Styela clava: one gene and its partner. The protein of the gene in region 1 purifies or fractionates together with the protein of each later gene. This does not show direct contact. Links are inferred from orthologs where the notes say so. Each region holds a gene or a part of one and is shown in the gene's direction. Other genes may lie near its edges. The genes, in order: coatomer subunit beta'-like and coatomer subunit delta-like.

Evidence for each region.
Region 2: the proteins of coatomer subunit beta'-like (region 1) and coatomer subunit delta-like fractionate together in Homo sapiens (co-fractionation; 5 studies listed by BioGRID and IntAct, with this or other methods). This does not show direct contact. The link is inferred for Styela clava from reciprocal best matches to the Homo sapiens genes COPB2 and ARCN1.

Annotation. Positions count from the first base shown.
Region 1 is NC_135256.1:19,757,811-19,767,355, reverse strand, and holds the start of coatomer subunit beta'-like, read left to right. Parts: upstream 1-5,402; 5' UTR 5,403-5,559; coding exon 5,560-5,562; intron 5,563-6,977; coding exon 6,978-7,083; intron 7,084-7,717; coding exon 7,718-7,836; intron 7,837-7,965; coding exon 7,966-8,092; intron 8,093-8,840; coding exon 8,841-8,944; intron 8,945-9,489; coding exon 9,490-9,545. Other genes in the region: major facilitator superfamily domain-containing protein 10-like, read right to left, coding at 526-660. UniProt on the Homo sapiens protein: The coatomer is a cytosolic protein complex that binds to dilysine motifs and reversibly associates with Golgi non-clathrin-coated vesicles, which further mediate biosynthetic protein transport from the ER, via the Golgi up to the trans Golgi network.
Region 2 is NC_135253.1:7,645,313-7,654,525, forward strand, and holds the start of coatomer subunit delta-like, read left to right. Parts: upstream 1-5,604; 5' UTR 5,605-5,748; coding exon 5,749-5,751; intron 5,752-6,865; coding exon 6,866-6,989; intron 6,990-7,454; coding exon 7,455-7,594; intron 7,595-7,978; coding exon 7,979-8,158; intron 8,159-9,213. Other genes in the region: uncharacterized protein LOC120326790, read right to left, coding at 1-168; KIF-binding protein-like, read right to left, coding at 2,274-4,082. UniProt on the Homo sapiens protein: Component of the coatomer, a cytosolic protein complex that binds to dilysine motifs and reversibly associates with Golgi non-clathrin-coated vesicles, which further mediate biosynthetic protein transport from the ER, via the Golgi up to the trans Golgi network.

The DNA of each region.
Region 1 (9,545 bases):
ACTTTGAAAAAGGCTAAGTAGCTCTTTAATACATAAAGTGGGCGGTGAGAATCGCTATTGAACCGATAATCTCGACCTATAATGCCAACATAGTTAGGAGTGGTCAAACCGCTGGGCCATGGGGCGACAATTTTTTATAAATTGTAGGTTGAGTGAAGAGCACAAGAAGTTACTGAGATGAGAATATAAAGCTAAAATGTTGTCTGGAAGAAAGTCACTGGTGATGAATTCCTCATTGATACCATATCTCATGTGCTCTTAATTACAGCAGATATTTCTCTAGGCTACTTGCGCATGTATTCCCAAATGAATTTGTAACAGGTATCAAAATCCCAGAACACTGCAGTAGTTCCTTATCTAGCAGTGGCTGTTTGTGCAAAGCCTCGTTTGGAGCAAGAGACAGAAAAAAGGAATAAATATGTGGTATAAAAATGAAATATTTCATTCCGAGACAGTAACAACTACACAGAGTTAGCTCGGGAGACTATTCCTATATTCCATGTATTCTAAGGTAAGCGAGCCCACCTTATCATTGCTTTTGTAAAATTCCATAAGCGAAGGAAACAGTGGTAAAATGACTGTAAATCCAAACAAGTCAATGAGAAGAGAGATAAATATCACTTTGAGAACAGCATTCGTTCCATCCTTTTTCCCTTCCATTTGAACTGCGAAAATACAGAAATAGAGAATTATGGTGTAGGTACGTACCTAATGTCTGAATGCATGAAATATCTGAATGTAACTTACAGATCAATCAGTATGCGTGCTGCTATTTAACAGAATATATGCCAGTACTGCGGTATGCGGTGCTGCTATATTAACAGAATTAAACACAATTCACTATAATGAACTCACCGATTAGCAAGACAAACGCTGCTAACTACAGAACACTACAGAACTAGGCCTATCACACGAACTACAGCACAGCAGACTGAAAGTCCCAACAATCTACCGATCTATGCAAAACTCGAGAAACAATCCTGCTCGTGGCGGCCTTGGCAGATCAGCTGATTTTTTAAAACGCGTACACGCTTCACGCTTGAGGCAATATGTGCCCCGTCATCTATCTCTAGCATTTTTCCTTTTTTTTCTGCGGTCAATATTTCATATTGCTTGTTTGTTGATAGAATCGGTGTTATGTAAAAACTAAATTAAGATATGTGATAAAAGATGGATATTAAATAACACACGCAATCGGTCTGTTCACAATATTGAGCAATAAATGGGAATTTATTAATAAAATGGAGTTAGGAGGTACCGTAAATGCTCGTTTTACCGCCCGATCTTGATAAGAGCCCGTTTGAATAGCCGCCTGTGTGATCAGAACATAAAAATAAATAAGGGCCGGTGCTTGAATACCCGCCCGATGTAAAAGCTGATTTTTCAGTGGTAGAGAACAATAGGAAATAAGAAGCGCTTTTGTCACAACGCTGTTGAATTTTTTGTTTTGAAAATTGAAAAAGTCGCCGATAACGCGTACGATTGCCTTTTGCTTAAAATTGCCGAATGTTTTCATCGTTGTGACGTGTTATTTAGGCCGTAAACGCCTTTACGTTGACGTTTATTGTCTCTAAATCACAAATTTTCCTCAAATTTGTACCACGATAACGATGACAATTATTTTATTTTGTTACTCGCACGGAATTGACAGAATGGTGCATCCGGTGAGACTTATTATACGTTCATCGGCGGCGAGATTCTAAAGACAAATTAATGAATAAATCCACGACCTAAATTGTTTGACTGAAAATCGGCAATATAAAATACTGAAAATAAAACCGTAAACAAGTGTTGTTGAGGCCCGCGACAGTCTAAAAACGCTTTTCTAGGCATTGAAAATCGCAAAATTTCGTCTTCCTATGGCACACATTATGTTCGCTCCGCGTTTAGAACTTATCGTCACTAAAATCGAAACACGGTGAATTGTGAGCGGGATTTACCTTGTTATCCATTACTTTTACACTAAAATTGCCGTCGAAAATGTTCGTGTTAACTTTAAACAAAGTTGAGAACGCGACTTTTCCCGGTTTGTGATGATGTATAAGATAATTAATCTATAAAGTACATTCGAACAAAATTTATTTTACTAAAATAAAATTTATCTCTGAGATTTTAAAGCAGAATTACAAATCTTTCGGAACGTTTTATCCTTAAAAATAATCGGAGTGGCAGCATTGCGATTGAAAGGAGTCAGTGTTACAAGTACATCTCAAATTTGTGGAATTTGCAAAAAAGCAAAAATACGGATCGAAACAATATATAATCGGGCAGTTTACCACACATTTTTATGTCCGCGGAATGCCGTGGTGTTTTAGAGTGGCTCTTGTTTTATCGACGCAACCACAGTTTAAATTGATGACAATCAAATTAACAAAGCAAGACATTTTAAATATGCCCGTACCGGTCATGGATTGATTACTTTGCACAACAGAAAATTCCTTTTTCGTTAAAAAAGTCGGCTCTTTTAACAAGTGGTGTTACCGCGGCGACTGTTTGGCGTGGATTTCGATGCGGTGAAGGCGGGTGAATATGTATTTTTGATTTACTGATATAACCTACTTTATATGTATTTTCATTGTATGAAGTAAAATTGTACTATACGGATTTTGTAACAGATATTAAGATTTTTCTATCGGCTTTAACGAGTTCGCAAGATTGCAAAAATATGTATATATCAAAGTTGAATACATCAGGCAACTTATCTCATATTTTTATGTCCACAGATCGCCGTGGTATTTTAGAGAAATAATGTTTTTATTTTGACGTAAGAAGTCGCAACCGCTAGTTACGTTGGACACAATTAAATTAATATATAAGGACATTTCAGAATTTCGTAGTTGTCATGGATTGAATAATTTAAGCAACAGAAAAAAAAATTCAGTTTACGCCGAGCACTCAAAACGTCCGCTCCTCAGCCAAATATCAAGAGCATGAAATTCCCCGTTTATTTTCGTAACAATAACGTATCGTGCTAAAAACCGCATGTGCCAGCTCACCAGCACAGGCACAAAAATAACCTTGTTGAACGAGGCTTGGGTCAGAAAAAAAACACAAAAAAATTGAACTTTCGGACTGTCGTACATTCAAAATTCAATTCGATACTAAGATAACGTGTGGATGAGGTGACGAGAATAGCCAAAAGCCATGAAAAGTTACACTAATTGGGCATTGGTGAAAAGTGGTTCAAGATACTTACAAACTAAAATCAAAACTATGCTGGTAAATTCTGTGCACGTACACTCATAAAAACAATTATCAGAAAAAAACACTAATCAGGCGTGCACAGGTCTGTAATTAGTTAGGCTAATATCGTTAAAACGGTATGCACACAGAACAAAACAAAAATAAGCCATTAAATGAATGTTTAAAAGCATTGCGAATTGACATGGCCATATCATATGTTACATTACAAACTGTGTATGCATATATAGCTAATACCAAAGAGATTATTTGAATTTTCATTTATAATTAAAGTAGAATATTTAGTACCGGTAATAGCGTTTGCAGTATCTGCTGACAGTTGAATTTCAACCCCATACTCATCTTCATATTCCTGATTTATTATCTTTCGATTCTGTTATGTTGTCCTAGTATCCTTCTCATCTTTACATCGTCTGTAAGCTCCTTGTTGGTATTCCTTCAGTGCTGGTCCATTATTCCTTCTGCTACACAAGAACGCGACCACACCCGACGATTTAATTAAATTGTGACATGACACTCTCTTCAACCTAGTGAGTTTGTGATGAAACATGTGTTTCATCACATGTTGGATTCTTGTTTTCAGTACCGGTCATTTATGGTTCTGGAAGGCCCCCATTACAAGAAAATTCAGATATCATTGTATTAGTTTGAATATTTTTCAAATATTCGAGATTCAATTCGAAAACAATATCAATTGGATTCTGAATTTATCCGGCATTCGAAAATGTCCAGATCTATAAAGCACCAATTGAAATTTAGGCAGACGCATTATATTATTTTTAGTTTTAATTACCAAATTTGAGTCCAAATCAGATAATTCAGTGTCATTTTATCGTCGAATGTGATGTAATATAGTTCTTGGAAACGACCCTGACAAACGGGTACACTAGTACACTCGGCAGCTTGCTTTCGAACAAAATGATGATTTTGAAGATGAGACCAAGTTTGCACGCGCCATTTGGTAAAATGATTCCACAATTGTCAGAATACCATCATAAATTCAAGGCCGTAACTAAACATCGGCGAGGTATGGACAGTGGAAGAATAGGGTTTGAATAATGTAGCCAACCCTGTATGGATAACATTGTTATTTTGGCGAAATTTTACTCTTTTTTTTTTCAAATTAATAATATTAATCGGAGTAAAACTAGTTAATTTAGACTTTCTTAAAATTATAAACCGCCATAACTTTTTGTACTGGACGTAATTGAATTAAATAACCCCGAACTGTCGTTCATCACCAACACACCAAACCAACAACAAGCCAATATATACTTTGTAGGCTACCCCTAAAACCCGTCATTCAGTTTTTATTTGACTATATTGGTATAATAGCGCCTGTTTCCGGAGTTGAAAATATATTGTAATCTGGTAGTAATAACCAACTTTGTACGCGTATACTCTCGCAAGTCTTTTGGCTTCAATCGAAAATTTTGAATTTGCTCAATGGTTACGGTACGTGTTGTCACTTCAATGCCCTGTAATTCATATGAAGCATATGATAACAGAAAAATGTCGCTTTGAATCATTATAAATAAAAATATAATATTTAAAATGTTATTGGACCTACGGTGTTTCCCCGAAAATAAGACCTAGCCTGAATTTTGAAAATTATTTTAACTTAAGTCCTCCCCTTAAAATAAGACCTAGTCAATAACGAAATTTTTTTTGTTATACCTAGACGGTGGCAAAAAACTTTTCACGATTTAAATGATTGACAGTCTATGTTTTGCAGTTATTTCGAATAAAAACGTGGTATTTATAGGTAAATGGATATCGGTTTTCATATTTTGTGTACAGTATTTGAAAATCTCGTATTTTCCTACTTTGTAATTTTGTTTTTGATAAATGAAAGTATAAGACATTCTCCGAAAATAAGCCCTAGTGTTATTTTTCAGAAGAAACACGGTATACATAGTTTCCTCGGTATGTTGCTGTACCCCTCAACGTTCCAGAGTTCACAGCTCCATCGGTTACCGACTCCTGTCCCCTCTGATACATATGAAAATTATATCCCCTTTTCCACATTTTAAAAGTGGAAATAAGGTTAAGTCTGATAATGTTATAATATAATTGGTGTCGGGTTATTCGTATTTATTATTATATATTTTTTTCTTCTTGAAAACCATACTTAAATTACATATAAAACGTTAAAATTTTACTCTGATTGTCTAATTGCTCTTTAGCGCTGCAAGGTGACAGCAGAATAATGCTACGCGTCAGCATTGTCGTGTACCGTGAACTGATCACAACAATCTGAATGAGGATACCTGCCTACTTTATCTTTTCAATTAAAGTGCCCAGCTTGAACCAGGAAATTATTCCGACTACAAAGATTGATCAGATTAAACCAAAAGCATGGTAAGTATTTTTGTTTCATAATATATAACTGCGGAACTGTATAACGTTACTGAAATACTGGAAATATGTAGTCTAAATACTGAAATTTTGTCTTCTTATGTCTTACCTGTATGTCAAACTTAGGGTCTCGTGTAGTTTCGTACCTAGTACTTCTAGTCATACTTCTAACATACTTCTAGCGAGCGTATCGCAATAATTTTTTGACATATCAATCCTAACCCTCACCTGACTATGCCATCCAAAAATTATAAAATTACGTCACAATCACGTCATAGAGCTTGTCAAATATAAATACGATCGCCCAAAATGGCATCGGCGCCAACGATAAAGAGCTGACTAATGTCAGCGATCTCTCTCATATTGGGATCATTGCGACGAGAAAACGAGAGAAATAGTTATTCGATTTCGGATGCTCGTCTGCGCGTCTTGGACAACAGTTCGTATAGTTTGAAGGGCTCTATTACGTCACTGTTACGTCGTAGTGACGTAATTTTTGGATGGGTTAGTCAGGTGAGGGTTAGGATTGATATTTCAAAAAATTGTTATGCTCTGCCCACTAAAAGTGGATTAGGTACGAAACTACATGAGACCCCAAACTTACAGGTCTTCCGACTGTTTTTGTCTGTTTTGTTTTGACAAGATTTTCACAATCAGACAATGCAGCAATATTCATGTTATCAAAGTCAAGTATCCAATAATGCAAATGCTGTAATAATTTTAGTATTTGCTGGTTTGAGGCCAGGGTTCGCCATACAGTACAGCACACTATCCAAATTCCAAGAATTTCCCTCCATTTGGCTCAATAAAACAAACACTCTATGTGTCTCACAAACGAGGGGCGTCTGGGACCACATCAGATGCTTCATATCGTGCCATGCTTGTTTCAATAAAAATCTAAATTAATCGAGGCCGTCACATGACCAAAATTGCCGTTTTTTGCTAAAAACTTTTTTTTTTCCTTCGGTAAATCGGATTATTTTTTCCTAAGGAATTCAATGATGACATTACTAGAGTGCGCTTTTTTGTAGTATTTTGCGCAACTTCATTATACTGCATTATTACCGATATTGAGGGACAACAATGTCCAGACGTCTCCCAAAGAAGGGGTGTCTGATCATCTGTAAAATGGGTTTCTCTGAAACGGGACAATGTCACCCGATTTGTATAGTGTGCTGTACTGCCATATGATTACAGGATTAACGTTAAGCTATCATAGCGTCTTTCCTCTACCCCTAGATAAATATCTAAATCCAATCCTATAAACATTCAGACAATGTCTGAAATGTATCGAAGTTTTGTACAATGTCTGAGTGTTTGAACTTTGAAGAGAATAAAATAAAAAATATGAAAGGTTGAATCCAGTTCCATACCCTCAAGAGCAATTATTTACAACCAATAAAATGCTTTATATATAGCCTCTGAGACTTGACATCAAGAGGAAGTTGAGTGCTCGATCTGATCGTGTCAAATGTGTTGATTTACATCCTACAGAACCATGGATGCTTGTTTCATTGTACAATGGTGAGTAACCCAGGGATTGTGTGATAAATAATCTTGTTAGTGACATCATGAATAAAATTTTGAAATTCCATGCTTTTCTAAACGTGAAATGAAAGAAATTTAAGGTTGTATTCTATAGAAATTATTAGAGCCTAAGACTTTTAAATCACATATTTTTCGATTTATGTTGGTGTGTCCATGCAACTTTTAAGTGTAAGAATTCATCAAATATCAAAATGGCCATTGATGAGGTTGTTAGTTGCGGTTGGTAAAGCGTTAGGATTACGCTAATCATAACATCTCTTATTATCCTACGTGGGTTTGCAGATTTGAATCCTGTGAGGGATAATTATGTGCAAGCGGTTTGCTGGACTTCACTCCGCCGCAGGGTGGTTCATGTAACTGCTGGTTGGTCCAGGCTTCCTCCACCATCGCGTCCATGCATCGGAAAGAAATAACTGGCCAAGTCATCCCATGCATGACTTTTACTGGTAATCTGACGAGAGACCATCGGTACCCCATATGATCAAGTCATCTTATTGCTTTATTCGCACAGGAATAAATAGAATTAAGACTGTGCTATTCCATTCCTAAAAAATTAATTGTGCAATTGAATCAACATTTTTAATTTATTTTACTGCCTTATGATCTTCAGGTAATGTTCATATTTGGAACATCGAATCTCAACAACTTGTAAAATCATTTGAAATTTGTGAATTACCAGTGAGAGCTGCAAGATTTGTTCCAAGAAAAAATTGGGTTGTGTCAGGATCGGTAACAAAAATTTATTATGTTTTACTGCATTGTTGCTTTTTTTACTATTTTATTCAATTTTTTTTTAATTCCCTGGATTGATATGTAGTATTTTGCCTCATATGGTAAATGAAATGATCTTTTTTACAGGATGATATGCAAGTTCGAGTTTTCAACTACAATACATTGGAAAGAGTTCACTTATTTGAAGCTCATACCGATTATATAAGATCAATTGCTGTTCATCCAACACAACCATATATATTAACCAGCAGTGGTAATGTAATATTTATATTTAAAGGATTTTGCGTCTTAATTTTACACGAGACAAGCATGAAGTTTTGGCATCTCATTAGATAGCATATAATGTTTTTATTAAACGATGCACCATAACTTTTTGAGAATATCTTTTTGAATGTCTAATGCATAAGCTGTGTTTCTCAAGCTTCCATGATCCCAGGGCCCCTTCCAAAAACTCTAAACAATTGTGGCCTCTTGCTCTTCCATAAAAATTTGAAAAAGTTTTCCTTTCAACGCATTTCATCAGATATTTTTGTTGTCATATTTGAGAGAGTAAACAAGCCAACAAACAAAAGCAAAAGATGCAGTACATTCAAAGAATAAAGCAAAGTTAAACTCAATGTGCTTTAAATTCATGTGGTGATCTCAAATGGTACATAGCTAAGGCCTTTGCCTGTGGCCTTCTTGATGGGCCGATGGCCCAGTTTGAGAAACCCAGGTATAAAGTATATCATTTTGAAAAGTTCAAAAACAATATACCATATCATTCTTGTCAGTACTCTTGTTATAAGTGTATATACGAGTTAAGGTGGGATGCCACTCACTAATATAATTTTTGATATTTAGCATGTAGGCCTATAGCCTACTAAGTTGACACATCTTTATTTTAAAGCTAAAGTCAAAAATGAATACCTAGTTAATTAAGTGTATTAACAACAATGTTCTGTAATCCTCAAGAATTTATAAGATCTGAGGAATTTTTTTATAGTATTGTATTTTTGCAGATGACATGATGATAAAGCTCTGGGATTGGGATAAGAAGTGGGCATGTTCACAAGTATTTGAAGGACATACTCATTATGTTATGCAGATTGTGATAAATCCAAAGGTAAGAATGACACCCATTTAAATGGTAACTCAAATATAACCAGTTCGAATGCAATAGTAAATTATAACACAAATATAATTCATATTTATATTTTGTCTGCAGTCGAGCATTCAGCTACTTATTTCTAGATTCCCTTCGCTGAAATATGCGGATTCGAATGGTCTACCGTGGAATAACTTCTAGTCAATTGTTATATTCTTATCTTATTATGACTTTCTTCACTGAGCATTCTTCTGAATAATGTGGTGTGTGGTGCTGCGGCAATGCTTTTCATATTATAATTAAATCATTGTATCAGAGTTGACTAAATATAAAATATTAATATTATATAATTCAAACTCAACTCAAAGCAAAGTCTCGATCCTATCCTCTATTAACCAAACGAAGAACAAGTACTGATAAAAGTTGCAAACATACACAGACTTGCTATGCGCTATAAAAAGGTCGATCCTCAGAATTGTCAGTAGTTAGTGGTTGACACAAGATGTTCAAGCCAACATGCTTATTATGATGTTCATCGACTCAATTTGCATTTTTTTCTCTAGGACAACAACCAGTTTGCTAGTGCATCGCTAGACAGAACGATAAAGGTTTGGCAGCT
Region 2 (9,213 bases), on another chromosome or scaffold:
ACCATTTACAGAGTCCTTGTAATGCGATTTTGTCAAGGTGCCATCAATATCAAACAAGAGCAATCTTGGTATTTTATCTTTCATTTTTATCGTTGTCGTAGCAAACTCCCTGTAATAACGATGTCTAACTGCGGGTAAAAACCACGAAAAAATCATTTTTTGCATCATCCGATTTGCTTCTACCTTGCAGCGATTAACCGACGAATACGGCTGGAAATGTATTAATGTAACTGTAAACAAATCATTGCGCAATCTACGGCTTGACGTAGGTGGCGAAAATCATGTCGGAATAGTTATTGTCTCACCTTTCTACGCTTTTCTCACTGATAACAATTGACTACTACACTGGCAACTCAATCAAGGCAACTAAGTTTATTTTTCTATTGAAAAATCAATCGGTGATAGTAATGAGAATATTCTCATTGGTGATAGTGATTTGGAAAAATAGGACCTGGGTGCAAAACTCCGCGCGCAAGCTGTTTATCTCTTCTGCTACTAAATTTAATATTCCTAGCGATACCGGTATTCAAGAAAAACGCCAATGTTCTAATTTCCTTTGACGAAGTTTGTATAAACATTTATTCTATTGACCGTATTATAAGTAGGACATTTTAGACTTGCATGGCGGATTAGATCTTTAGTTTATTTAATTGAGCGTGCACGAAAGTAGGTGATTGTGAACGTTATCTCCAATGCCAAAATGAAGTTTGTTACAGATCTGCAAAGTTTATGGAAATAAAATGCCGAAGGCGTTCTTTTTCCTGCTTTTTTATTGGACGAAAGTAAACGCATAAAAACGCCCACATATTTAAACTGGTCAGAAGCCGAGTGTCTAAAATCACGTCTGAAGTCGTGCTGCGGTTTATATATTAGTTATGCCGAATATAACCTTAGTCTGTTGTCCCTGAATTACAATCAATCAATCAAGTTTATTTTTTTTCAACCAGTAAAAAATAAATAAATATCAGAGGCACAAATTACAAGAAAATAGTACACAGTTTTACTCGGGTAGGGGAACCAAAAATGGTTATCGAGCAGCTACACCCGGTATTCATTGTGCAAAGTGCGTCTATCGAAGGCAACCGTGCGGCAAATTTTTCCATTACACCTCGAGTCTCATATGAAATAACGTGAAACGACCACAGCCTGAACCAGCAATCGGATTATTTGCACTAAATCTGCAAGAAATTCTGCTTCACGGCACTGTTTTAAATCGCTGCTCAAAAAACGCTGACTTTGTGGTTTGAAGATATTGTTAATCGTATATTCGGTAGATCATAATTTAACGCTCAAGATCGTACTGAAGTGAATTTTCTTTTTGCTTGGCAGAAAATTATTATTGACACAAAATCAGTACCCTATATATAAACTGATTATCAAATCATAGATTTCCTCACAGGCAAACAGAGCAAAGACGAGCTGCTTAGTTGGTTTACAACTTTACGGAGAGGCAAACTGACAGCTACGAAAACATGATTAATCCACTTAAACATGATTGCACAATACTGCTAACAAATAGCCACTCTGTTCCAACTTGTATTTCAATGTTTATATGATAGGACAATTACAAATATATAATATACGTGAAATATTAAAACCAGTTAGGTATATAAAACACAGTGATGTTACTTACAAGTGAACAGTTGAGAGATTTTTAAGAGGACGATTATATATACCCGGTGCAAATTCAAGTGCATACCATTGATTAATGAACTACATTTGGTAAGTGACAGGGTTACAGTAAATCTAATGTTTTAAATTGTGTCTATTTCGAACCTTCATGAAATAAAAAAATACACAAAAAATACGAAAGAAGGATATAATAAAACACAATTTGCCATGCAAATGATGTACCACTGTGCTTATTCTGAGCTGAGCGGAAAACTGTACTAGATTATTGAGTTGCAGAATACCGACAAAAGCAAAACATAATTATGCTATGAAAATAGACCATGATCAAGAAAAAACACCCAGAACATTTCAAATGTTTTAAAATATACTGATTAACTTTCACATGAAGTGGTGCAACGATTCAAAACTCAAATATATATGTAAGAAGTCTTGGGTACAAGCGGTCAAAAAAGTCTAATTACACAGCTGTGACAAAGGCTAATGGTAAAATGGTCTAATAGTTTAATAATAAGGTTGTGGGAAAGGAAAACATAGCCTTTTAATATTGTTACAAAATTACAGTGTGAAATTCTTAACCACGATCTCTGAAAGTTTTAACGACAACACACAAAAACATTATTCACAAAATGTTCCATTATCTTTCATTCCATATATCGTTCCATTGCCTTTGGGAGAAGGACTTTCATTTCCCTGCAAATTTCGACTTCCTTTTGTACTGTTACCTCACATTCCGGTTTACGATCAACATAGTCAACTATCCATGAATAATATTCCAAGGACTTTTTCAAGAAATTTAATTTTTCAGATCTTACAGGAGCAATTATTTTTGAATACAGTCTAGCGACGTGAAAATGTGCAATAATCGCAGGATGTTCAACATCTTCATCAAATGGAAAAGGAAATACTTTTTTAGTATTTCGTAGTGTGTCAAGAAATTTAGTGAAATATAATATACTGGACCTACACAATAGGTTTATCTTCTTGATAGCGTGGTGTGTTGGAGTCTGAGTCGACTCATTAGCAATTGCAATTTTTAAATCTAACATCGCACCATATATTTCCCCAATTTCAAACTGAAGTTGTCTGCATATTAAAAGAAAAAATTGAGGATTTATCTCATTCAAAACTTGAGTAAGAAGGTCTATCCGTCTTTTATGCATCTTGCATTTTCTCTCTTTCTCTGTCTCAAAGAAAATCAAGTGTTTATACAGAGCACTCATGTCTTGCGTCAGCTCAATATTATCTGTGACAAAACCATCCATAACAAAGAATTCAAGAGCAGAATCAACATATTTTTTCGCTATTAGGAACACTTGTCGACTTTCTTCAAAAGTGGTGACTGGTAAATGTCTCGCATTCTCTTCTACAGAATCAACTTCAAGAGGCATTCTGTCATGATCTTTGGGTACATCATTGTCATTTTCCTCATTTAATTGTAGTCGTAGTATAGCTTCTGCTTGTCTATTAACATCAAGTTCACACACATCATTATATAAGAGTTCCTTTGAGTAATCCAGAAGAGCGAGAAAGTACTTCACCCAACAACGAGCGATATCTGCTTTCTTCTGTGGTATTTCATTTCTCAGCATGATCGTCTCATTATCATCATCAGGTTTCGGCTCAGGTAGACCTTCCTGAGGTTTTGCTTCTTCCATAATGACATTGGCACAAGCCAAACAATGTTTTGCTTCACGATACATATTTTGACAAATGTAATATTGTGATAGGCCAGCAGAATTCACAGCCCATTCTTTTGGATCATACTCTTTTGATTCCAGTTGACGTCGTAAAGTTCTTTGACAATATGCAGCAGATAGATCATTTTCATCACTTTGTTTGTACATCTGTGCCAAGTAAAACAATGTATGAGTGAAAATCTTTTCAAATTTTGCATCACGTTGCATGTCAGTGAATTTCTCTTCCTTTGGACGCAAACTTTCATCAATAGCGAAAGGAGAAAGACCCACTTCATGCTTATATTTATTATAAAGACTTTCAACTTTTTTAAGGTTGAACATTGCCTCGTCTCGGCCTTGATAACGGCTAGCCCATACTATTCCAAGTTCAGAATATGCAATCATGGCAATGCTAACAGCCTCTGGTCTCATTAAAAGTTCATCGTCTTTCAGAAGAGCAATACACTTATCAAGACATTCTTCTCCAGCAGGTCTTTCCTCAGTGTGAGTGTAATTAAATCCTAGCTGATATTGTATCGCAGCTTCTAAAATTTTCATGGATGGGTCAGATTCATTTTCTTCTCGTTCTTTATGTATTCTATTCAATATTTCTTGCAGCTTTTCTCTTGCTTTGTATTTTGACTTGAAAGGATCATTTTCTGGATCTTTTAAACTTTCTTCATCAGTTAAAACTCGTACACTGTTATATGCATCGTATCCCTCCGACTCAAAATATTCAAGAAGTGTCTGGGGTAAACTGAATTCAAAATTCATATCCAACTTCCTTATATATCTGTATATTAAATAAATCTGAAATATAGTACTAATTCTTCTGTTAAAAAAAATGTATTTTAATGAGTAGGCCTATAGGCACAACGACTTTTGAATGGTTTGCTCTGCAGCATTTTCGCCACTTAACTAAGAAGAAAGTAGAAAAAAAAGATCAATATTCTCAGATTCTGGAAACAATGGGACCAGTGAATGTTTACAAAATGTACTATTACTGGGGTCTTGTGTAGTTTCGTACTTCAAGTACTTCTAGTGGGCGTAGCATAACGATTTTCGCATATGTCAATCCTAATCCCCATCTGACTATGGCATCCAGAAATTATGTCACTACGACATCACAATCACTTCCTTAATAGAGCTTGTCAGAGTATAGGGGGATCACCCACAATGGCATCTGCGCCGCCGCCAGTCATATCGGGATCGTTGCAACGCAAAAACAAGAGAAATAGCTTGCTAGATTTTAGGTGACTGTCTGTGTGCTTGAATGACAGTTTGTACAGTTTGAAGGGCCTTGTTATGTCACTTTGACGTAATTTTCGAATGACGCAGCGAAGTGTTGGTTAGGATTGACAAATGCAAAAACTGTAAAACTACGCCCACTAGAAGCATGCTACTTACGGTAGCTATATTTGACAACGAAGAAAGACTGAATTGTAATCTAATAAACGCTTTCGCAAAAAATTAGGAACCTGGCTACCTTAGATTCATTTTTCGCTTACTTAATCTTTTTTTAAACAATATTTTCTCGTCCAATTTATTGTATTTATTTAGTTTAAAGATTTTTCATCTGATTCCGTGGTAAAATTATATTTTAATCAGCCTTTTCAATTTTTATATATAGCTATAAGTGAATCATATATGCGCTTGGAAATTATATTCAATGTGTAAAAATATTCTGGTTGAAATTGCTGCTAGCTCCACAGTGGTGACGGAAGGTTCGAATCACAACTATGGTCATACATAGGCTTACCATACGTCACGGTTTAGCCAGGACAGTCCCGGTTTTAGCCTGTTTTTCCGCCGTCCCGACATATAATATAAAAATTCACAACATGAAATTCTCTCACATCCAATTATTAAAATGAATTAAGAACACTGAAGTGCATAATGAAATTTATTTAGGTTTTATCTTCAGAATTACCCAGTTCATTCACTACAGAAAAGCATATCTACCTATTTAAAATATGCACAAAGGGGCCATGAATAATTGTTCATTTATTTATCACTATTACGAGACGAATAAACATACATACATAAAAAAAAATTGGGAAAACAAGATCACACTTGAATAAATATAAAAAATACGACAATACGATGCATACCGGTACTATTTGCCGAAATTCCGGTACTCAAAATATACTTATATTTACCGTAGGCTATATTATACTGCATCGTATTCATCTCAACGAACTCGCGGAGTGAAGACTGAAGTAAATGGGTAATAAGAATTTTTATTACTCTAGCGCGACATCTCGCGGGGATGATAAATCGAATTTATCGAACATCGCAGTAGTCTCCATTCAGCCGTTTTCGTACTTATGCCTAGCACTGACGTGGCTGCCTGTTGAACAAGGTTTCTGCATTGGCATACTGGCTATCGGTGTCGTTTTTGTTTCACATTTCTGAGGTTTGGAAATCTATAAATTACAATATGGTAAGTGATTATTATGGAATATGAATCTATGATATGACCACCAGTTTTGGATTCAAATTATGGTCCGATCTAACTTAACCTGACTCCATATAACGTTACAGATATAGGCTAACGCAATCTGGCAATGTTCAATTGTTAATTAGTTGCTGTTACTGTGTTGAGATGGATTGCTTATATTTTTTTTTCAAAACAGTGTTAAGACTTAACTCCATGGCTATTATCTCATTCAGTCCTTCAAATTAATATAAAATCTTATTTCTATATATCAACTCCATTCTTCCGAAAACAAATACCTGGTTAACTAATCCCATACCCGACCTGGTAACCGAACGAGAGGCGGGTCTAGTATAGTTTAGTACCACAGGTACTTCCAGTGGGCGTAGCATAACGAATTTTGCATATGGTATTCCTAACCCCCACCTGACTATGCCATCCAAAAATTACGTCACTAGGATGTCACCATCACGTGATATGGCTTGCCAAAGTATAATTACAATCGCCCGAAATGGCATCTGCGCCGCCGATAATGAACTCGCTAACGCCGACGATCTCTCTCTTATGGTGATCGTTGTGAGGCAAAAACGAGAGAACTAGCTTGCCCGATTTCGGGTGATCGTCCGAGTGTTTTGGACGACCATCTCCATACTTTGGTGGGTCTCATTACGCCACTGTGACGTCCAAATGACGTAATTTTTTGGTGACGTAGTCAGGTGGGGGTTAGGATTAACGTATGCAAAAATTGTCGAGCCAGGCCATCTAGAAGTGCATGTGGTACTAAACTATACCAGACCCCGAGAGGCCGTGGTTGGCCATATGATTAAGTCGTCTTATCGGTTTTCCTCTCCCCCGGGATAAATATGTAAATCCTATCCTATATTCAACGTAGGCCTAAGGTCATACTGCCATAAAAATTATGTGTTTTCACTTTTTTTCCACTAACTGACCGAACTAAACTATATATAGATGCTCCTCATTTCAGAGACAGAGTATTTATTTAAATGAACCAATTACGTTGGAACATCTTTGAATCGGAGAACTAGGCCCTACTGAATGTACAAAGTTTACTATCTGACTATAACGTTGAGTCATGGATTGAATTATTTCAATTTTTTAGGTGCTGTTGGCAGCGGCGGTAATGACCAAAAATGGTCGAGCCATCATATCTCGGCAATTTGTAGAAATGACTCGATCAAGAATTGAAGGTCTTCTTGCGGCATTTCCTAAATTAATGAATACAGGTAGAACTTCAGTATTTACCTATTTTATTGATGCCTTATCACAGTGTCTAGTTCTATGATTCAATAAAGCATTTTCAACAACCAAAAAAATCATGATAATATTCTGTCATGTAACAATGTAAACATGCATGTGCATTCATCATATCTTGGGTCAAAAGCCTATTGATTTTGGATGATTTATGTCATATAATTAGCGAGTTATTAATTAATTAGTGATGGGACACGCGGTGTCACTATAGAGTATAAGTCTTTGGTCTCCGACCGATTCCTTGTTTATTCAATTACTAGTTCATTATGGCTTCTAATAACTGGCTAGCTGTTCCCAACTGGCACTGGACGAGAGGCGAAGGTTTGCCATATGATTGCATTGTCTCGTCGACTTTTCTCCTCCCAGGATATAATATGAAAATCTTACTTTTATCTACTTTCGAGGATAGAAATTTATCAATTTATCAATTTCTTCAGGCAAACAACACACATTTGTCGAAACAGAATCAGTGAGATATGTCTATCAACCTCTGGAGAAAATGTATATGTTGCTGATCACTACAAAGAATAGTAATATTTTAGAAGATCTGGAAACACTAAGATTGTTCTCAAGATTGGTATGTAAAGTTTGAGGTAGATTCTAATATCGGAAAGGATAGAACTTCTGCAAGCTCATTTCTAACACCAACACATAATGACAAATTTTTTTAAATCTATTCTATTTAGATTATATGTACAAAATACCTTTCATGTTTTCGTTAATTTCAATTTTACTTGTATCCTTGAAATTCAATTTGAAAATTATAGAGAAAATGAATTGAAATCAAGCCCCAAATTTATTTGTTTATTAGAGTCTGTGATCGTTAGTTGTGATCATACTTTACTCAACATCATGCTGAAATCATGTTTTCTAAAGATTTTATGCTTTGTTTTCACACCCTTTTTCCTTGTCTTAATTGGATTATTATAAATTGAATCATAATTAATAATTGTTATTCAAGATTCCAGAGTATTGTCGAATCCTGGATGAAAATGATGTTCAAGAACATGCTTTTGAATTGATCTTTGCATTTGATGAAGTTGTAGCTCTAGGATATCGTGAAAGTGTCAATCTTGCACAGATTCGAACATTTACTGAGATGGATTCTCATGAAGAGAAAGTGTTCAGGGCAGTTCGTAAGGTAAGATAAGCTGACTTGAACAAAAATCATTTATTTTTTGTGAATGTTGGTCTTGGCGAATGGTAAGTCAAGTTTCCACCACATTCGTTTTTTAAATTTAAATTTTATGTTCTGGTTAATAGTAATTTTGAGATACCAGCGTCTACTGAAATATTACGATGGCTATCTATTTCAGTTTGATATAAGGCAGTGGTTCTTAAACTGGGTTCAATCGAACCCCAGGGGTTCGATGAGTCAGTATCAGGGGTTCAGCGGAGAGGAAACACCTTTGTTATAGAATCCCCGGCCAAACGTTATCTGATTGTGCAATCGGCGCTGTTTTTAAAAAAGTGTCTGTTTTGTCTTTGTAAGTAATTTCGTTGTGTAAGCGTAGTTTTCTTTTGTTCAGAGTTAGTTGTGAAGTATTACTTGATTAAAGCCTTATTAGGTTTTTAATGAGTCTGCATATTAAGTGAGTCTACTACAACAATGATCAGCATTGTTTTATTTGAAAACATTATTTTGTAGGGTTATAGGGTAATTCTAGCTTAGCACCGGCAAAACTAAAGGATCACTTTCTGAAGATGCATGGCGATGGAAAATACAAGAACACAACGCTCGCTGAATTTAAAATGAAAAGAGCCAGATATGATGAAAAGGCTACTCTGCCTGTTTTCGGCTTTGTTCCCATCGACAAACCGATCCTCACAGCATCGTACGAAGTTGCATACCTGATTGCCAAACAAGGCAAACCAAACACCATTGGGGAAAAACTCGTAAAACCAGCTGCGTTGAAGATGGCGAATATCATGCTTGGAAAAGCAGCTGAAAATAAATTATCTCAAATTCCTCTTTCGAATGACACCATCAGCAAAAGAATTGATAAGATGAGCGATGACATTTTGGCTCAAATAATTTCAGACTTGATTTCGAGCCCGGCAAAATTTAGTCTCCGACTTGACGAGACCACCGACGTTGCCAGTCTAAGCCAGCTTGCTGTATTCTTGCGCTATGTGAAAGAAGACGTGATAAAGGAAGATTTTTTATTTTGTCAGCTAAGGCTATTGACGTTAAGA